Linked DNA regions of Drosophila melanogaster. The protein of the gene in region 3 purifies or fractionates together with the protein of the main gene of each other region. This does not show direct contact. Each region holds a gene or a part of one and is shown on either strand. Other genes may lie near its edges.

Region 1 (8,709 bases), on a different chromosome or scaffold from region 3:
AATCTTTCGACGGAATCTTTATCAGCTTAATTGATTGCTGGCTAATTGAGTTGCATTCAAACAGAATGATATCTTTCTTAAATTATTTCTACTACTCTTGTCGAGTATTTTTAAGTACATTCACTAATTACAAAGCGATTATATTATATATACATTGAAATCGCATTCGGGATAATATTTTCATATATGGCAAGCATTGCAAAAAGTTGCCCCTTTCATCCAGTTAACTATGCCAAGGACGTGGGCCACTCACCTCGCGCTGCGGCAATCCTAGGAGGAATCGCAGGATAGCCGCTTGGTGTCGCCACTGGTGGTCAGCACGAAAACGTAGTGGGTGCACTGCTCCGCGAGGAGATGCCACAGCGAAGCGGGCAGCTGGAAGCGGTGCACATACGGCTCCTCGAACTCCTCGTAGTGGGCCACCAGGCTGTTCTGGTTGCAGCGCAGCTCGATCAGTCGGATGGGCCTGCTGGAGCGAATCTCACGCGTGTCGCGGTTCAATTGTATGCTGGCCGCCTCAAAGTCGACGGCAGCCGTCTGCTCCAGCTCCAAATTCAGCCAGCGATGATGGGCCAGGATTACGGCACAGTTGCGTGCAAAATAGAAGCTATCGTGGCGTCGCTGGTTGTGGTAGTTGTCCAGCAGTTGGCTGCTTGGCTGCAATTTCAGTTTGGTGAGGCGGGCGCGGTTGCCCGTTGCGGCGCCACTGCCGGCGGACGAGGAGGAGGAGGAGGTGGAGCTGGATGAGGATGATCCGCCCTCGGATGAATTAGTATTGGCAAGTGAGCCCCTGCGGGCGTCCACAATTCGCTGCGGCAAATGCTCCGTGGGCTGGTCCACGGTCAACACGCGATTCAAGTAGTCGAAGCCCTGGCCCATCACACCCTCGCTGGTGTGGCCCAGATCGAAGCAGTGGCCCAGTTCGTGGCACACGGCGCCCAAGGTGCTGGCATAGACGCCGCCGTACGTCCGCCGATAGTTGCTCTCGTCCGGCAGGCGGGCGATGTCCACCCGCTGGGCGCTGCGCACACAGTCGCCGATCTCCGCGAAGCTCGTGGGCCACGCGTAGAAGTGGGCACTACCAAAGAGCGCCAAGCCGCCGCCACCGAGTGCTGCGTGTCCCTTGAGATGCCGCCGGATGTTGGCGTACGAGGAGTCACCGCTGGCCACCACTGCGTCGCCGTCGTAGCGCGTGCAGCCCACAAAGGCGACGAACTTGAGGAGCAACTGGTGGCCCCACTGCGGACAGGCGATAATCTCGCCGGCGAAATGCTGCCACAGCTCGTCCTCGCTCTTCGCCAGCGCCTGTTTCCGGGTCAACTGGCTGCGGAAGGCGCAGCACTTGCCGTTGAGCGTGAAGGTGCGGTTGGGAAAGCCCGCCGCGTGCAGTTTGTGCGCGTAGATGGACTGCACCAGCCGCAAATTAAGATCGATGAGGGAGTGCACCTCGTGCTGCTGCGCCAGCGTCTTCTCCTCGTCCTGACAGAGCAGGTAGAGCGGCTGCACCCGGTAGGAGCTGCGGCGGGGCCGGTAACTGAAGCTAATCGTTCGGGTGGCCGTGCAGGATCGCAACTCCAGGAGGCAGGCGCTCTCCTCCTCCTCCTCCTCGCGATTCGCTTGTTCCAAGTCGAATAGGAGCTTAAACTCGCCGCCGGCCGACAGCTGGGTGAGCTGCTCCTGGGACAGGTGCTCGGGCAGATCGAGGATCGCCTTCAGTTGACGCGCCGTGGAACACTTGGGCACCAGGCGTCCCTTGACCAACAGCAGGCTGTGCTCCAGGCGCTCCGACGTCAGCGGCTGCTCAACCTCGATGCTGTGCGCGCGCTTGCAGCCGGCGGTGCCGCTGCTCATTGCCAAATTCTGGCCAGGATTTCCGGTTCCGTTTGTCTGCTCAAATCAAAATCCAGACTCCGAAATCCAATTGGAAAAGCCGAACAAACGCACTGTGCTGCCAGACCGGGAAAATAACCGGTACGCCAGCGGACCAAAGCTGGTTGCTACAAGTGACCAACCGGCATTGTAATCGATAGTAAAAGCAATCGAACTGTTATATTTTATATTTTTAAAAATAGGCAAAGCCATTTCTCTAGCATTTCTTTCGGTATGACTTTATGGCATATACTGGTAATTGTTTTGTTTGTCGCGATTCTGGTCTTCCTATCGTTATCGGCCTTTTGATAGCTCTCCTCATATCGAAGTACTGCAGGCCCGATAGAATCAGGCACTTATCGCCACCCGATTTCGATGACAGTTTTTAAATAATTGTGCAAATTCCTTGCTAATAATAAATTGTAATCAATTAACTTGTCAATCGCAATTCTGGATGCACCTGGCGACGCGGACATGATCGCCGTCGCAGAACCGCCGCTGGAGTTTGTGCCGCGCGGCCGTCAGACGTCCGCGGAGCATCCGGGCCCACATGACCAGCCAATGGCGCGCCACCAACTGCCCACCACGGAGCATCTGCTGCTGCAGCGCCTCCAGAATGTGAACATCTCGTCGGCCGGTGAGGACTGCCCTTCGGGCGGACAGGAGTCGTGGACAGTCCGAGAGCTGTACGATGACTACGAGGCATCCGAGGAGCGCGCCGCCCTGCGACGCAAGTTGACCGAGCGGACAAAGCGATGTGGTCTCCAGGCCACCTCGCTGCCGAACAGACTGCTCAATCCACCGCTGGTGCGGCGCGTGGAGCCAATGTGCGACTATATGGTTAACAACGAGGAGGAGCTCTATGTGAACCGGAACACGGTGGTGTGGACACAAGGCGTCAACGATGACGACGATACCGACAATGGGGTGTACCGGCGCATGTGTTTCACCACCGATACGCCGGTGCGCTTCGCCTGCTTCCTGAATCGCAGTTTTGTGCGCGGGCGACTGGCGCAGCTGAAGGCGGCTGTCCACCCGGATGACGACCATTTGACCGCCATCTGTGTGATGGATCAGGACGCCCTGCGGGTGTACTGCAGCAACGGCGAGGACTTTCTAGCCAATCTGGACTTTCCCGTGTCACAGCTGTGGCAAACCAAGTATGGCCTGCTGCTGGAAAAGGACTCCAGCAATGCCTTGATATCGCACATGTCCATTCCGATGCCGCGTCTCTTCTCTATGTCGCATCCGCTGCACGAGGCCTGTCCCGTCGTCCTGAAGACGGCCACCGGCTCCACCGGCTACATGACCGAACCGGAATACACTGTGGTCTTCACCACCGAGGAATCGGATTTGGTGATGCTGTACGATGCCAAGTTCTTTAAGCATTTCGTTGCACGCCTGCGTAAGGTAACGCCCGAAGAGATCAACTATGTGAGTCAGCAGATGGAGCTGGGACAGACGCTAATGGGACCCAGGTCGATGGCAGGCAATAGTTTCAGTTCCACCAAGCAAACTGGAGGTGAGTTGATAGCAATGCCAGCAAGGGCATACGATTTATTCACTGTCTATCCATTGCTAGCCACGCCAAAAGCAACGAACTTATCGTTTGCGGCCAGGAATATCAACACCACCACCACCGGCATGGGCAACCAGTTCGGACTCAGCCAGTCGCAGTCGTTCAGCGGAGTTCTTGGACAGTCGAAGTACGTTTAAGTCGCTGTCATCCATCACTTACTTATTATTGCCTCTTCTTCCGTTTAGTCGCGCCTCCCTAGGCACTCCATTGAGCCAACTGCAGAGCAGTATTAGCCAGCAGTCCATGTCCGTGAAGGATATGCGCAAGTTAACGCACGTGAAGCCGGCAAAACCCATTGAGCCGGAATTGTGTATGGAGCACATCTGGACGGAGAACATCTACGGAACGTCAGTAAATGCCACCAAAGATGCCACTTTCAGTACTAAAATTGTCTGTCTTCCTTAGTCAACGAGAGTTCTGCGAGATGGCCACCCGAGCATTTATCCACACGGATTTAGTGGGTCAGACCTTTTTGTGCTACCTGCTGGCCCGCTCGTGCCGCCTTCAGTTGGTCCGCCTCACTGGCTATGGAAGGGGCGAGGTGCAGCTCTCCACGCACGCCTCCACGCTGGCCGCGAAAGATGCAGTGGGTCTGAAGAGAATGCACATGATTGCCGTTCTCGATCCGAGTGGCAGCTTACTTCTATACACAGGCACCGTGCTCATATCCAAGGTGCACATTACGCCGTTTTTGGCGCCTACCTCCATTCCCACACCGCTGGTAACGCCCATGACTGCTGCCCCATCTCCGTCGGCTTCGCCCGCTCCGTCTCACGTTAAAACACCAATGGCAGCTGCTGGACCAGCAAGCGGCATTCCGTCCGGCAGCAGTTCTTTCGTGGAGGTGCGAAGGAGCAGCCTACTGCCCACAAAAGCGCCGGGGGATGTGGCTGCCTTCGAAGAGGAGCTGCACATGCTGTCGCCCATCCAACCGCAGCCGGTGTCCTACACACAGCGGCAGGCGCACAATGTCTGCAAATCCCTGAGAGATCCGGCGGGAAATCGATTGACTTTGGTTTATGCCACGGGCAGAATGCTCAGAATAGCGCTGCCATTTCTAAATGATACACGATTGCTCACCAGATGTGTGGCTACGCTACGGCAGGTTCTAAGTCCGACCCAGTTCCTGGACTTTGTTATCCGTTGGTATAGCGACAGGAATCCGCCGGGATCGAGGAATTACTCCATAGAGCAGGAATGGCTGCTATTCCGCTCCACACTGCTCGCCCTAATGGGTCTGACTGCTGCACCGGATGTGGATGCGGGCGAGAACTACGCTAGATGTGCCACGCCACCGCTGCACACTCAATTTGGAGGCGGCGCTACTGCGACGGAATCGAGTGACGGTTCTAGTTGCAGTTCCAATTCTACACTGGGTGGCCAGGATGAGCCGAAGAAACGGCGAATATACAATGATTGCGATGATTTCACGGACGACGACTGGGAGTTCCTGCTGCTCCAGACGACACTGGCTCCCTGCGGAGCCGATGGCCACAGCTACAGCGTGAACATCGGTGCGCTGCTCTTCCGAATGATTCCCGCCATCTTCTTCAGCCTGCATTTACTGTACGAGGATCTCAAACTGGACGCTGACTTTTATGGAGCGCTTCCATATCTGGCAACGGTAGGTGAATCATTTAATAGATCCATTAGTGGTTTTCTAACACCATCTCCTCGTTCCAGTTCCTACACCAGCTGGCCATCGATATGCAGCTGGAAAGTTATGTGCTGCACTACATACTAGACTTTCCGGAACTCTCGAATCGTACGGGCAAGCTCTCGTTGCTGGGAGCTGAGCACGGAGCTATGATGCTGCACCAGGAGCTTCTGAGGGTTCCGGCACCCAGTGTGTTTGCCCAACTCGAGCACATTATTGTCGGCGAGGAGGAGGTGATGCCTTACACCTTCTTGGAGTGCGTTAACGAGAGAAGTCGCATTTTACTGCAGCTCGTATCGCTGGTGACTCATGGGCATGAGCGTCTGAATTACTGGTGGCAGCTGCTTGAGATCCCCGGCGCCGTTCAGGCCAACTTTACGCGGCGCTCTAAGCGTAATATCACGGCGGATGCTCCGCGTAGCCATCAGATGTTACAGCTACTTCTGGCCATGCGCTTGACACGGCGAGACATTGAAAGATTCCCGGCGGCAGTGCATCTGATTGTAGCGGAGGCACTGGAGGAGGCTCGCCTCTCGCCGCCCATGGGCTGCAGCATGGCCACCTATGAACTTATCCTGCGTCCAGAATTGGCGGCCCACGCTCAACTGCCGTTCCTCGAAACGAGCACTGGGCAACCGCATTGTGGCCGGGTCTACAAGGAAGATTCACTGTCAGCGAGGTGTCCGCCGACCGGGGGATCAGAAACTGATTCACCGGCCCAATTGCGCCGCGACGACATGGACAACATGGACACAAAACTACTGCGTCTGCGTTTTCCCGATGACATGCGGGTGGATGAAGTGCGCCGTCTGCTTAACAGCTCGGAACCGGTGGTCATTGAAGTGCAACAGGCACCGGGAACCAGCGATCACGAATTCATTGAGGAGCAGGAGAAGCAACTGTTTGCACTATGTTCGCGCACAATGACACTGCCCGTGGGCAGAGGTATGTTCACCCTGAGAACGATGTTGCCGCGGCCCAGCGAAAGCTTGACCATGCCCAAATTGTGCCTGTTGGGCAAGGAGCCGCTGAAGGGCACCACCATCGAAATGCAGCAGATCGAATTCCCAGCGAATATGCAAATGTGGCCATCGTTTCACAATGGCGTGGCCACTGGCCTGAAGATCTCACCCCAGGCTCAGGACATAGACTCCAATTGGATTGTCTACAACAAGCCCAAAACGCATTCGCATAATGCCCTGGAGCACGCTGGTTTCCTCATGGCCCTGGGCTTGAATGGTCACCTAAAGACGCTGTCCTTCATGAGTGTCTATAAGTATTTGGTTAAATGCGATGAGATGACCAACGTTGGTCTGCTGCTGGGCATTTCCGCTGCCCATCGCGGCACCATGGATACGAAAACCACAAAGTTGTTGAGCGTTCACTTGGAGGCACTGCTGCCAGCCACCGCCATGGAGTTGGATATACCGCAAAGCACACAGGTGGCTGCTATAATGGGCGTCGGTTTGCTCTATCAAGGATCAGCTAAGCGCCACATAGCCGAGGTGCTGCTCCAGGAGATTGGCCGTCCTCCAGGCCCTGAGATGGAGAACAGCATTGAGCGCGAATCGTATGCCATGACAGCAGGTCTATCCCTCGGATTGGTTACCCTCGGTCAGGGTGAATCGCCGGCGGGCCTAAGGGACCTCCAACTGCCGGATACCCTGCACTACTACATGGTCGGTGGAGTGAAGAGACCCATCGGCGGTTCCCAGAAGGAGAAATACCGACTAGCCTCGTTCCAAGTTCGTGAAGGCGATACCGTCAACATAGATGTCACTGCTCCGGGTGCAACGCTCGCATTGGGACTTATGTTCTTCAACTCGGGGAACGCAGCTATTGCCGAATGGATGCAGCCGCCGGATTCGCGGTATCTACTGGACATGGTGCGGCCTGACTTCCTTCTGCTGCGCACAATTTCCCGGGGCCTCATCCTATGGCAGGATGTCCGGCCGGACAACGCGTGGTTCCAGGCACAGTTTCCGCGAGCACTCCGAGCTCACCTAAAACTCCCGTTCTACGAAAATGAGTATGCACCCGAGGACTATGACGTGGACTACGAGGCCATCTCGTGAGTAACTGAAGTTGAATGTCAAAGTAATTAGATACGAATTATATACTCTTGTCCAGGCAAGCCTATTGCAATATCATGGCTGGAGCTGCCTTCTGCATTGGTCTCAAGTACGCCGGCACTGAGAATCTGGTGGCCTTTGCCACGCTGCGGTCGGTGATAAAGGATTTCCTTCGCTTCCCCAGCAGGCCGATGGGCGAATGTGCCGGTCGCACCACTGTGGAGAGCTGCCTGATGGTGCTGCTCATCTCGATCTCGTTGGTGTTCGCCGGCTCCGGCAACTGCGAAATTCTTCGCATAATTCGGTTTCTCAGGTCGCGAGTGGGACCACAATATCCGCACATAACCTACGGCTCTCACATGGCCATACACATGTCGCTTGGCCTGCTATTCCTCGGCGCGGGTCGCTTCACCATTTCCCAGACACCGGAGTCGATTGCTGCACTGGTCTGCGCCTTCTTCCCCAAGTTTCCCATACACAGCAACGACAATCGGTAAGGATTAATATATTTGCAGCAATGTGTTAGCACACTTCACCGCATGGATTTACATTTTAAGATACCATCTGCAAGCGCTGAGACATCTCTATGTACTGGCTGTGGAACCGCGCCTGTTCCTTCCCCGGGACATTGACACCAATAAGCTGTGCCTGGCCAACATATCCGTGTTGGAGGTGGGTGCCACCGAGCTGCGCCGCCTGCCCATCGCTCCCTGCATCCTGCCAGTGCTGAGCACCCTGCAGCAGGTGGTGGTGGACGACGAGAACTATTGGCCAGTGTGCTTCGAGCGATCGCGCAACTGGGATCAGCTGGAAAAGGCGCTGGAGATGAGTGCACCGATTGATATTAAGAAGCGAACGGGCTGCCTTTCCCACTTGGAGGACCCGGACAGGCTGAAGAGCATGCTGGCCCAAACATTGACGATGGAACAGAGCATCTGTTGGCAGATCGATATGAACGACCTGCAGCAGTTTGCCAGCGAACGTATGGTGAAGCAGTTCCTCAGTCGCTGCCTGGACACCAAAGGCACGGATTTGAGTCCCCCGGAGCTGATGAAGCGGCACCAGGTGATGCTGCTATTCTACAATGCCGTGGTCAAGGATCGCATGCATTTCCTGCCGGTTTACCTAACCCTATACGATGTAAGTGCATCCATTCACTTGCATAATTTGACCGCGAATGTAACGTTCTTTGTTTTTAGCACGTAACCAAGTCCATGCCGAACAACATCGATGTGTGGCAGATGAAGCTCATCGATGCCTATTTGAGTCGCAGCCAGGAGTCCGAGCATCCGCTCATCTCCGTGGAGCTTATCCAAATGATGCAAGAGCTCTTCAAGCAGGAAATGGAGGACTCGACGCGCGAGTTGTGCTTACCGCTGCGCGAGTTCCTCAGCCGAAGGCGTCTGGATCCCAGCTATGTGACCACAGTCAGTGGACCGGACTTGCAGCGAGCCTTCTGCGTGATCAATTACTACAATCTGTTGCCGAATATGTTGAATGGAGTGGACTTGAGCACGGGCACAGTTAACTAT
Region 2 (7,503 bases), on a different chromosome or scaffold from region 3:
GTTCTTTATGTAGTATAAAACAGTATGGACAGGACAACAGTTGTCCCGAGTCCGGCCTCCACCTACTGCTCCTTTATGGGTGGCTCCCAGCACTCCCCATTGCGGCGATCACAGCGCCTCATCGACAAGGAAAACCGGGATCTGCAGAAGATTCCGCCCAAAAGTCTTTCTCCTCAGTTATTTGGAAACACTGAAGATGATTACAGTGAACTATTGTTGCAGCAAGGGAAAGTGGTTCACCTGAAGCCTGCAGCTAAGTTGGTGCCCGTGAGATCCTCGGATAATCTAGTCCATCTTGGATCCCGGGATAAAGTTGTCCCCTTGAAAACTTCCAATAGAATCGTTCACCTGAAGCCTCCATATAAGATTATCCACCTCAAAAGTTTAGATGAAGTTGAAAAGACCGTAAAGAAGAAGAATAATATTCAGAAAGAAGTTCATCAAAGGAATTCACAAAGGAGAAGCATTCAATGCACTCCCAAAAAACGTGGTCGAAAACCAAAGCAACCGGCTAAGAAACTGCAGTCAAGAATTTCCACCGATCAGCTAGGAAGCACACCATCGCCATCCAAGCTGCCTGCCAAATATCCCGCCCATTTTGTTCATCAACTTCCGCCCGCTGAGGATTCCAGCTGTGCCACTCGAAGACGATCCTTATCTGCTCCAGCTATGCAACTTAGCGATCTAAGCCTCACACCCGATGAGATCCAAACTCCGGAGCGGCGCGGTGAAATCGTAAACAAATCGCCATCGGATCTCGACTCCGATGTCTCCTTGAACTTCTCGCTGTCCGATTCCATTGGCGAGATCTTCGGCACCAAGGACATCAGCAGCATTCTGACCATGCAGCGGCCGCGTCAGTACATTTTGCTGGAGGAGCATCTGCCCACACTGGCCACCATGTTGAACGTTGACTTGGAGCGACTGCGCTGCGTGCTGGATATCACTCAGGGCTTGAGCCACGAGCAAATCCTGCGCTTTCCGATAAAACATGAAGAGGATGAATTGGAAGTACCTTAGATATGATGGGGAACTTATAGCAGTAGTATAATGTTTTCACTTTGAATAGTTTTAATGTCCAAGTCCAACATATTTAATTCCCATAAGATCCTTGTTGCTTTAACTTAACATTTAAAATGTATATCTCCCTTTTTTTTTGTATATTTTTAAGTGGTATTTAATTGTTGTTGTTTTTTGTTGTTGTTGTTTCTTTTTCGTTATTTTGCCTTAGACTTTCAGAGTGCACAATTTTTGTTTAAACCATTTACTTTTTTGTATATTTTAAATTACTAATGCTAAACGTTATCTAGACTTTATCATACTTCATAATTGGTTTCCTTTCCTCCACGACAATACAGCAGCAATCGATCGGGGTTTTTTTTTGTATCTGTTACTAAGTTTTCTTTTTTGTTTACTGTGTTTCTCATTTAACGTATATACAACCGCGTGAATTTGGAGTTGCAGCTCCCTAGTAGTCGCTGTCGTAGCTTCCGTCCTGCTGCGCCTGCGTCGAGTCATCGGAACGCTCCGAAGTGGGCTCCAGATCAACGTCCAGGGCCGTAGTGTTGGCCGGACAGCAGCTGGGATGAGCCATTGAGTCGAAGGCATCTTTGATTTGATTGTTGGCACCTTTGGGATCTAGGTCGGTGGCCCAGCTGAAGTGCATCAGCGCCAGATCCATGTTGCCGAGCGTCTTGTGGATTTTGCCGATCAGATAGAACACCACCGACTCCTTGGGCACGACTTCCTTGAGCTCCTCCAGTTCGCGCAGCGCCTCCTGGTACTTGCCCAGCGAGAAGTAGATGGAGCCGCGATGGAATCGCGTCAGCGGGTTCTTGGGGTCCAGCGTGGCGGCCGTGTTTAGCGTCTGCAGCGACAGATCCTTCTTCTTCATGTAGAATTGCATGGCGCCGATGTGCACGAGAATAACCGAGTTCTGTGGATTGATTTTCAGCGCCTTCACGTAGTGAATCTCAGCCAGCTCGTATTTCTCCTGCTTGGAGTAGATGGTGCCGATGCCGTACCAAGCATTGTAATGCCGCGGATCTCTAACCACTGCTGCACGGAAGTAGTCCATGGCCTTATCAAATTCTTCGGTGAGTACGAGTTCGTGGCCCAACAGTGTGTAGCTGTAGACGAAGTCTGGATCCACTTGGACAGCCCGCTTGAAGAACTTGATCGCGGTTTCGTGCTCCTTTTGCAGCGAAAAGCAATTGCCGGACACACACCAGGTAACCGGGCTGGTTTTGTCCTGGTTAATCAGATCCTGGGCGAGAGCTGACAGCTCAACCTCGCGCTGCAAATGCCACAGGGATGACGAGTATATCTCCATGTAGTCCAAGCGACATGGCTCTGTCTTGTGGATGGTCTCAAATATCGCCACCGCCGCCTCATACTCACGCATCTCGTACCTGGCCAGTCCGATGAGCGACTGCACCCAGCTGGAGTTCAGGTGGTGCTTTGGTATCGTCGTCTCCAGCTGCTTTATGGCCGCCTTGCACTGGAAGTTCGAGAGCAGCTGATAGGCTTCAGCTAAACCCCGCAGCAGGGCCATCAGCCCATCGGCCGATTGTTTCTTGAGTCCCATCAGCTGGTGGGCCATCGTCTGGGCATTGTTTAGGCTATTGTTCAGCAGTACTTTGGCCTCCTCGGCGGCACTGCGTCCACCGCTGTTGTTATTCGCTCCCGAGGAAGTAATAGTCTCCACCTTCTCCTTGCGCTTCTCGGAGAGGTGGTGGGACTTATCCTCGATCAGTTCGTTATTTAGGCAGATCTTGGTCATCCGTGACTTGGCTTTGCGGGGCGGCGAACGTGGCTGCACGAACTTGTTGGCTATGTTGGGCGATTTATTGTTCTCCTTCACCGAATACGAGTTGCTGAACAGCCGCGAACTGCGACGCACTGCAGCATTCGGATTGGGCGGCACATTCATATTGCCATTGTTGCCCACATTATTGTTGTTCGGAGTGCGGGGCGTTATGTTTCCGGCTTGCGTAAAGACGGCGGGTTTATTAAGGCTGCCCTCTTTGCGATTGATGAGTCCGCCCACATGTGTCTTTAGCTTTTTGCCCATCATCTTCGGCTCCTGGTTGACCTCGACCAACATCTGTGGCATCGGCGAATAGCTTATATTCATAACGGGCGTGTGGTTGCCAATGAAGGATCCATCGTTGCCGGTGCACGGACTAGTTAAAGGCATGATGCCGAAGCTCGGTGTTGGCGGTGAGATGGCCGATAGGTATTTGAACTGTTTGCGAAACGGAGTACCGCTGCTCATGTCGTAGAGCTGCTGGTTCTGCTGATACTGGCCGGCCGGGTCCTGCGGAGCTCCCATAGGTGTGTCCTCCAGCATCGCCAGCATGCTGGAGTTTTGTACCAAACCCCCGCGCAGCATGCTGATCGAACTATTGAGATTGTTGTTATTATTATTATTGTTGATGGGCGTCACCATGTTGCTGTTGTGGTGCTGGTTCTGATTCTGGTTGATCTGTTGTTGCTGCTGATCCACGGGCGTGGTCAGAATGTAGTTGGAGACATTGCTTAGGTTGGTGATCAGCGACTGGCGCTCCTGATGCTGTTGACCCTGCTGCTCGGCTCCGAACAGCACCATTGCATTGGCATTTACGCTGCTGCCCTGGCAGGTATTGAACACATCTGTGCTGTGGATTTGGAATATGGCCGCCGCATCTGTATCCTGGCCCAGCAGGCACAGATCCGCGAATGCGTGCCACATGAAGGGGTTCAGTTTGAGGGCGCGCCTTAAAGCACTAACGGCCAGTTTATTGCGCTCGGTCCTCATGCAGATCTGGGCCATTAGCTGATAGGCGAAGCAGGCCAGATCCCCGAAGTCCCGCTGCAGCTCATCGCAGTTCTTGGCGTCCGCGAATCCCGTGGAGATCAGGGCACTCTCCGCCTCAGCGTATTTTTTCAGCTCGTAGGCACATTTGGCCTGCAGAAAGCGGCACTGCGGCGAGCGGCGTGCCTTCTCCTTGAGCAGCCAATATGCCTGGTGCACCTGATTGGAGCGGAAGTAGCTGGTGGCCAGCAGGAATATCGTCTCGTCGCTCTCCACTGCAAGGACACGGTGAAAGAGAAAATCAGTGATATACCCGGTCAGACAAACGAGACCTTGACCTATACCTTCTGAGCACAGGCGTTCCGACAGGAAAACGGCATCCTTGAAGTCGTAGTAGTTCAGGCAATGCCATATGGCGGCCTTTGGGAGCGAAAAAAAAGAAGGGAGAAAATTTGGTTTTTTATAGAGGCCAGGTGGACCGAGGAGCTATTGATTTACCTGCACGGGCTCTTGAATCATCATGTCTGGGCGGTATGTGCGACTTTCTAGGGGCGCTCTATGAGATGTACGTTCACTGTACTTCAGGGCTTTACAATAATTCAAACATGCAGTGTGTAGAACTCAAACAAACTATCATGTCGCCCCCCACTCGTACACTCTTCTGTTTGTATTTGTATTCGAATTGTTTTCTTTTGGCCAAATTTTTTCCAACAATATCGAATGGGAAAAAGTAAAAGTTTGGCCTGTGTGCTGGCTGGCTGTGTGGTATGTGAGTGTCGTATGTAACCCGATTGCGGATGCGGCGATGCAAGTGGCGATGGCGGTGTCTCTCGCTCCCTGGCCTCCACTCCACTCCACCTTCCACTTCCACTTTTTCTTTATATTTGATATTGCAATTGGTTTGAGTCGAGCCTTCGCTTCGCTTCGCCCTCTGTACACACACACTGCGAACGGGGGGTCGGTTTTCTACTATCGTTTTCGGGGCTTATCTCTCGTTAAAGACGCACACGGGGCTGATCTGCGATTGGCGGCGACACTGGACTACACCTTGGCCACATTTTAGCTACTTGAAACACGCTGCATACGCGTTGCATTCCATTTTATTTGAAAAACCAAAGCTAAAATAATTGCGAGCTGTCAAAGTATCGATTGCACGCGACCCTGCCAATCGATTGTTTATATGGTTGAGGAGGACCGTATCGCACTAGCGCAAAAGTACCAAGCTCTTGACACGAAGCTATTATAAGCTGTTTCCACTGATACATAACTTTGCATTTTTTTAAATGCCAATTTAAATTGTAAATTAATATCATTAAAGAAGGTCATAAAATTAGATATGTATCCCAGCTACTCAAATATATACATAACTAGACTTCCTTACAGCGCGCTTTTATTAAATACCTAATACTACTAGCTTAAACGAGATTTAGTTATAGTTTTTTATCCAATTCTACTGCGAATCGCTGGAACTGGAGCTTGAGCTATCCGTGGACATGACCTCCACATCGTCCTGGGCGCGCGTCTCCAGGGCCACTGTGTTCCCAGAGGCGCCCATGGTCATGTGCAGCTCTCCGAGATTCCAGTTAAACTGGTTCTGGAAGGCATTGGGCACCTCGCCGCCGGCGCCACTGCCACTCCCACTTCCTGCGCTACCGGACAGCGTTCGCTGCTGCTCCGAGGGCATGCCGCTGTTCTGGTGGGTCACTGTTCCGCCGTTGATGTTCTGCTCGGATTTACCCAGCAGCCCGTTGCGCATCTCAATGTCCGTGGGATAGGGACGCCGCAGGTCACCTATGCACCAGGTGAGCGGAGCACTGACCGCATTGGCGGAGCTAATCCGATGTGCGTATTTGATGAGCTCCTCGGATGAAACCGGTCGTTTGTTGGCCTGATTGATGCTGGCCAGTTTCTGTCGCGCTTGGAAGATGGCCGTGGACAGTATGAGCTCCGCATCCTTTAGCGACTTTTGCAGCTTCTGGATCTCACGGTCCTAAGCGGGAAAATCCAGATTATACCTTATTTTTGGGGAATGCAAAACTTCTACTTACGTGCACCTCGACCTTAGCGCGCAGTTGGTCCATCGCCTCCTCCACTTTCGCCTGCTCCTCCGCCAGTTCCAGCATTTTGCGAAATTCCTCATCTTTGGCCACCAGCAAATCCAACAGGTCCACCAATTCGGTGCTGGAGATCTTCTGGTGCGCCTGCTCGATCAACTCCTTGGCAATCATCTCAATGTCGTCGATCAGGAGCAGAAGGCGCTCTTTTGTGCTCAAATGAAACGACATTATCACGGCAAATCGTTTGTGCTAAGCAATAATTGCAATTTGTTTATTTTCCACACCGCAATGTGGCCGTTCTTCGATTGCTGAAATATACCGTATAGTATTCCGGAGCGCTGTTAATACCACGTTGTAAAAATACCGTAACAGAGAGGTTGCCAGACTAATAGGAGTTGCCACATGGGTTATTTCATACACTCAAAAAAAAGGGAATCAAGTACTCAAAAGCAAAGAGTAGAAGAGACTGTTCAAAAATAAAACAAATTCGCAGCGTTATCTCTAGTAGGTATTATTTGCTTGTTTATTTCTCGTGTGTTACAATTGCAGTTACAATTTTAGCATAAAACTCTTCTGTTGATTAGCCAAATCAAACCTAACAAACCTTCTCAAATATGGCAGATTACAATACTCTGTTGCATCCTCGCGTTCGCGTCTCCCGTCAGTTTCACTCTTAAAACATACAAACCAGCAAGCAACTTGCAGCAGGTACGTTGGAGGGGCCTTGTTAATAACCGTTTAGAACTAGTAGATAGTCTTACAATTAGTTAAGATATAAGTGGTTTATATGTGGCTATTCATATTTCTTCTCCGCCCAAAGGATCCCCTTTCATCAAACCGCATATGTATGTACATACATACATATGTACATATGCATAACAATCAGTATCGCTGGCTCTCGCGATCCGAGTATTTGCCACTCAGCTTGCTAACCGAATAGCGATCCGAGTAGGCATCGTACTTGTCCGCCTTGTAGTTGATCTCCTGCGGCGTGTATCCGATATTCTTCTGCCAGTGCCGCGTCCAGTAGAGATCCTCGTTGCGCACCTGCGATGGCGTCTTCGCATCCCGGAACACGTACACACAGTAGATCATGCAGCCGATTAGCGTGAGGAAGCCGAAGACCAGGAACACAATTCCCAGTATCCACACGTACAGTGGCTCATAGAACTGCACCACAATGACGAATCCTAGCGTCACCAGGATCAGGCCCAAGTTGAGCAACAGCATCAGACAGCACACGCCCTTGACATTGGGGCAAAATGGATTCGGCGCGGACATGGTTTCCACTTTGGCGCCTCGCCGAGTCGTCGAGCGCGCACTGCGTCCGGTTTTGGCCGTACTGGCCACGGAGTAAACACTCCGTGGAGCTCCTCGCGACACTGGACGCTGACTGTAGCGACTGTAATGGATGATAGATAGTTTAGATATGGGTTATATGCTATATAGTTGTAACAACGCACCTGATCTCGGAGGGCGCCTTGTAGGCGGCACTGGTCACATAGATGTCGCTGCCGGCGTCACCAGCCTGGTCATAGCTCAGGGCGGACGGAGCACGCGGTGGCTGGCGCGTGGGCGGCGGTCCGCTGAGGGAGCGAGGTCCTCCGTTGTCCGGCGAACTGGAGAGGCCCATCTGACTGTGGCTGTAGC
Region 3 (5,617 bases):
TCTAACAAACTCATGCGGACTCTATCAATTTAACTTTGGTTGCTCTAACAACAATACCAACAACTCCAACAACTAATTACAAACTGCATTCATCCTAAAAAAAAAAAAAAAACAATAATCCATGTCAACCAACGGTCATTGGTAATTCCTAAAGTCTGTTCACTTGAACGAAGCCAATCACCTTGCAAACGAACTCAGCCTGGTTGCTAACAATTTCATGTAATCCAAAGAGTGGACCCTATCTATTTTTGTATTTGATTTATTTTTGTTATTTATAATATTTTGTTCGATTCTGTCTACTTTTCCTTGGTAAACCCATTGTAACGAAGCACAGACGGAGACCCAGACATGATTAACTTAGCCACGAGCCAGTGAAATTGAAATCTGATTAACCAAAGCTTCTTAGAGCACAGCAGTCAGGAATGTTTGTTTATATTGTTCACTTTTAATTTCTGTATTTTTCCTCATAATCTTATTTCTTAGATTCTAACACGCGACTAACCATGTAAGTACAAATTAAATTGCAGTTGATTTCCTCATTTTCCTAACGCCTATTGTACATAAAAGCGCATCTCAAGTCGAAAATTCACCATTACTTCATATTAATTTTCAAAGTCCCAGTGTTTTCAATTTTTTGTTAATGATTTTGTTTGCTTTTAGGTTGGAGGCGATCATCGAAATGCTTACATATAAGTTCAATAAGTTCTTAGTTTTCTTTTGTTATTTATTGAATTGGTCTCAACTGAAATCGAAAATGTGAAAACTGTACAAATTAGAATATTACTTTTCAGTTTATCCTTGTTTATGGAAATGTGATTCGGAACTCTAGTAATAAACACAAATCTGAAAGTTGTTGTGCAACTATTTAAGATCAGTAAGGGCACAGAAGCTATAAAAATGATTTCTATCATCGAGCTAACGTACACTAGTACCATACCTTATAACACGATAAATTACATGCATATATAGCCTCTTTGATTCTATTATTTTTAGAACTTGCCTCTGCAATTTACCTAGTTTTTCCTAAATACATAAATATATATATATATACACAAGCCAAATTGAATGGCCTAGCAAAAGTTTAATCGCATACTTATGGACATATTTCCTTCTTCTTATCTATTCGACATCGAAAAATGTGCTAACATGTATATTGTAATCGCCCGAAAACCACAAACCATATTATATTCAGATGGAGATTCTGGAGCATGTCCAAAGTCCGGTGTCGACGAGAATCCGGCTCTTAGGATTTTACGGGAAAAAGTTATAAGGCACAGGCGCAGGCAAACATATACTATTTCATTTTTGATGTATTTTACACAACATAAACTTATAGCTTTTTCGTTCTAAGCCAGTTAGTGTAAATATATCGTTTCGAAAACGGACTAATTGTATTCGGTTTAGTTTTTAAGTTTCAAAGCTGATTCACTTGCTGATCTATAACATTTTCCGATATTACCTAGGACCCTCCTATTTCTTACTATATATACGCTGTATTTAAAACAAAGCGAAGCTCTCTGAAAATATTAATTGTTGTGCTGTTAATTTTTAAGTCAAAACCAAAATAAATAAATAAAAAATTAATAATTGCTAAATTTTTTAATGGAAACAAAGCAGAAAGAAAGGAATTATAGATGGGCATTTCTTTTTAGGGGCACCGAAAGTATGATAAATTTAAACTTCATTAAGCCAAAAAATAGTGCGAGTGATTTTAAAATCGGAGATCTGAAAAAACATCGATTGATTTTTAAAAATAGTGTGACCGAAGTTGACCGCCCGTCAGCATAGCTGGGCACACTGCAACGGCGCGCTTCGGAATCGAATTGTGTATATTTGGATTTGTTTTGAAACATATTCAGTCATTGGCAATGGAGTTGGTGAAACGCGGGTTCCTGCGTGCGTGCAAGAACCACAGCTACCTCAGCTTCGAGCTGATCGATGATATCCTGGCCCCGCTATGTGCCAACCACAAGACTACAAAGCCCGGCAGCAAGGAGGCGATTAGGGCACTGGTGGCGGAGATTAATGACACCATCAGCGACTTGGGCCAGTTGCTGGTCTTCATCAAGTATCCGGTCAAGGCCGAGGAGTACCTGGTTTACGCCAAGACGGACGCTACGCCGGACAGCGTGGCCAACACCGGGCTCACTGCCGAGGAGTGTCAGTACTTTTCGAAACTGCTGGACAAGATCGCCTCCGAGGAGGACTGCCACATCGCCTGGAATGACGCCTACAATGATATCGTCCTACAGGCCAGCTCGAAGCCGTTGAAGAAGAGCCGCATGCAGGAGCTGCTCCAGAAGTGGATCCAAATGGGCTACTTCATGGAGGTGACCGACAGAATCTACCTAGGTCCACGTAGCCTCGTCGAGCTCAGTTTCTATTTGAGCTCGAACCACGCCGATAACATAAAAAACTGCACGCTGTGCAAGTGCCTGGTGTTGTGGGACATTCGCTGCGGGTCCTGCAACATCCAGTACCACCGCGGGTGCATCCAAACCTACTTGCAGAGACGCGATATTTGCCCCTCCTGCGGCAACCTATGGACAACTCCAATAAGACGCTCCATTGGTTAATCATTATGTCCGCGACATGTACTATAGATTTTGATACTAGAATAACAGTAGTCCGCTTTATTAACTAAATGATTTCAAGGTAGAAAATAAATAATTTAAAGCAACATCTTAACTTGAATTTTAAAACATCTTCATGTAAAGCATCGAGAAGTATAAACTCCACACTTTAAATGGCAAACATTAAAGAAGACCAAATGCACTCCTATCGAGTGTTCACTGTACTTGTAACTGTAAGTTTTTTTTGATCCGTTGCCAATTTAATATGGCGCTAGCAAAACAGAAATGTTTCAATGTTCGTCGAGATGAGTGTGTGTGACAGTCCCAATAAAAATTCCAAGCTGGACAAAAAGTCTCTGACGCCCTTCAAAAAGGTGCGGCGGAAAAACTGGAAACAGGAGGCGGCCTACAAGGTAAGATGATGGGCCTCAAAACAATTTGACCACCTAAACGTAGTTTTCTTTTCGCGCAGAGTGATACGAGCAAGGGGCAGGAGGTGTCCTATGTCGGCGAAAGATTCATACCCAACCGATTTGAGCGGGAGAACATCGAGTTCAACCTGAAGTACATTGGCAAGCGGAAGGAGCGAGATATCCTCGAAACGGTGTGTGCAGTACTTCTGGCTATATATACTTTCCATTATTAATTGAAAATGACTTTTACAATCAGGGTGTCACTTTGACCGCCAGCTACTGGCGACAGAGCGGCTTCATATCGAACATCAACCGAACCTTTGGCATCGGAGAGCGCCGCCTGTTTCAGTTTAGCAGCCAGCAGGGCACAAGATCCAGGGTGGTCGATAACGACTCCGCCGATTCGGACTGGCCATGTAATCCACGGGCGCGACCATATGCCATTCAGAATGCCACCCATGAGATGCCTGGCATATGCAGTCCCGTCGACTACAACATGATGGACTGGTCGTCCGGCGGCATGGTGGCCATGTCCTCCGGACAGGATGTCATGCTGTGGCGCAATCTGGACGAGAGCACCATGGTCTTCAGCGTCGAGTCGCCCACTTCCCTCAAGTACTCGCCGGATGGCAAGCACCTGGCAATCGGCTGCATGGATAGAAACTATCCAGGTATAACAGACCCTAAGCAATAACTTTGTAAAGCCCTAACCCTCCTCTTTCGTACAAGTTCTGGACCTCTGGGAGGTGAGGTCGCCTACGGAGTTCTTGGTCTCCTACCGCAAGCTGTTCTTCAAGTCCATGGGCTACATAAGTTGCATTGAGTGGTCCCACGACGGCAAAGAGGTCATCTGCGGCACTCAGTGCGGCGTCATCATCGTGCTGGCCATGCCCACGCTAAACACCCTGATGCAGTTGCGCGAGCATCGACACACGGTGAAGAAAATGAAGTTTGCTCCCACCCATAAGTATTTCGCATCCAGTGATACGGATGGCAAGATTTTCATCTTCGATGCGGTGCTAAAGGTTCGCCTGCTCAAGTTGGACGGCAGGTCCATAGTCTTTGACTGGCATCCGTGGACTGGAGAGGATTTAGCCGTTGGTAAGATAGTGGCAGATTAATTATTAGAGTATCTGCAACATGAATATTATCTTAACAGCGGAGCGAAGCCCTGCGTCGATCTTCATATTCAACATCCCGCGCCGACAATTTGTGGCTTCGTACAGGCGCAGGGATGACAGAATCGTTATAAAGACACTAACATACAGCAAAATCACGGGCGAGTTGCTGGTCAACGTTATTCGGCGTGGTGAGAACTGCACTGGATCCTTAATGCTTGCTAAAAATAATGTATTCTAATATCTACAGATGATGCGGACCTTGCAGTGTGCGAAATTCTGGTCTTGGCCTCCTTAAACCGCGTGGTTGACTTGATGTCCCATCAGGATCGCGGCACCCTCTTCCTGATGTGGAATCCGGATGGAACGAAAATTGCCACCGGCGGACTGGACGACACCTTTTCGCTGTGGAACTTCTTTCCCACCTATAAGCGCGAGGCGATATTGAGAAAGCAAGAGCAAAAGGCCAAGGACAAGTGCAGCTCCCTGAGCCTGTACAAAGGCATACGGTGAACAGAGCACAGTGATTTTTAATTGTTTATGTTTCTAGTCTTTTATTCAAACCATTTGTGCTTTTCATTATTTATTCAATTCATATTACTTTCATAAAAAATCCATTCTGTTTAACTCTAAAATGAACACAAGAAGATGGGCCTCTCCACCCAAAGTGAAGGTAAGAAAGTAAAAGTCCATTCATTGTTCACCATGTTACAGCGTTGAAATTTGGTAACTAATCACTAGGCTATAAGTATGTAAAGATGTCTATGACGGCACTGGCAGCCTTGGCTCAATATTCGCTCCGTTTGGGTCTTGACTCGCCAATCTGGGAGTGAACCTCCTGCTGGAAGAGGTACTCCGCACTGGCCTCGGCTTCCAGGCGTCGTTTCTCGAGAAGATAGGGTTTGATGACAAGGCGATGGGTGGTGTAGAATATAACAGTCGATCCAATACCGATGGCCATCAGACCAACCGTCGTTGTGGCGAATCTTTTGAAGCCGTTAATGAAACTCATCTGTGGGCGAGAACGGAATTCAATTAATATATGACTTTAGCCAGCAGATTAGGGTTTAGTGTGCGGGCTAACTTTGTGGTTCCACTAGTTTCAGTTACTGCTGGCGTTTCTGCCTCGGTTTTCTTCTCGTTTTTGTACTTCAAAATCAGCGGTTGCCAAATGTAAATACCGCCTAGCAGCCCAATGGCCGTGACCACCATCAATTGCGGAACAGTGACACCACGCGGACGACGAATTTGCATGGCACGTGCGGTTACTTTGGCTATTTATATTTATTTCTCATTAAATGCACAAGTTTCTTTCGCCGGCTGCTGTTACATCAACGCACCATGAGAATTTATTTCAGATCAGCTGTTTTGTTTAGCCGACACTTACCAACACTGAGTTCTATAATAGTTGTCAGCGTGGCCAGACTATCCCCGACACAACTTAAGCTTATTTGAAATTCAAATTTCTATTAATAGCTATTCATAAACTGGCTTGAGTATTTGCAGCGGGCGT

What was found.
Region 1: the proteins of cort (region 3) and shtd purify together in Drosophila melanogaster (affinity purification with mass spectrometry, with the first as the bait; one study listed by BioGRID). This does not show direct contact.
Region 2: the proteins of cort (region 3) and Cdc27 purify together in Drosophila melanogaster (affinity purification with western blotting; 2 studies listed by BioGRID, with this or other methods). This does not show direct contact.

What each region holds. Positions count from the first base shown.
Region 1 is NC_004354.4:15,455,970-15,464,678, reverse strand, and holds the start of shtd (shattered), read left to right. Parts: upstream 1-2,237; 5' UTR 2,238-2,343; coding exon 2,344-3,391; intron 3,392-3,451; coding exon 3,452-3,575; intron 3,576-3,633; coding exon 3,634-3,795; intron 3,796-3,853; coding exon 3,854-5,072; intron 5,073-5,131; coding exon 5,132-7,176; intron 7,177-7,235; coding exon 7,236-7,670; intron 7,671-7,734; coding exon 7,735-8,317; intron 8,318-8,376; coding exon 8,377-8,709. Other genes in the region: CG6294 (uncharacterized protein), read right to left, coding at 271-1,851.
Region 2 is NT_037436.4:7,244,364-7,251,866, forward strand, and holds Cdc27 (cell division cycle 27), read right to left. Parts: upstream 4,978-7,503; 5' UTR 4,319-4,977; coding exon 4,295-4,318; intron 4,217-4,294; coding exon 4,141-4,216; intron 4,072-4,140; coding exon 1,469-4,071; 3' UTR 1,118-1,468; downstream 1-1,117. Other genes in the region: mei-P22 (meiotic P22), read left to right, coding at 25-1,020; MED4 (mediator complex subunit 4), read right to left, coding at 5,247-5,786, 5,845-6,081; CG14830 (uncharacterized protein), read right to left, coding at 6,736-7,255, 7,317-7,503.
Region 3 is NT_033779.5:6,673,800-6,679,416, reverse strand, and holds cort (cortex), read left to right. Parts: upstream 1-2,781; 5' UTR 2,782-2,866; coding exon 2,867-2,986; intron 2,987-3,045; coding exon 3,046-3,177; intron 3,178-3,242; coding exon 3,243-3,657; intron 3,658-3,715; coding exon 3,716-4,087; intron 4,088-4,145; coding exon 4,146-4,295; intron 4,296-4,354; coding exon 4,355-4,617; 3' UTR 4,618-4,735; downstream 4,736-5,617. Other genes in the region: Nhe3 (Na[+]/H[+] hydrogen exchanger 3), read left to right, coding at 155-223; Nse1 (Non-SMC element 1), read left to right, coding at 1,869-2,576; CG34310 (uncharacterized protein), read right to left, coding at 4,892-5,111, 5,189-5,358; cup, read right to left, coding at 5,103-5,116.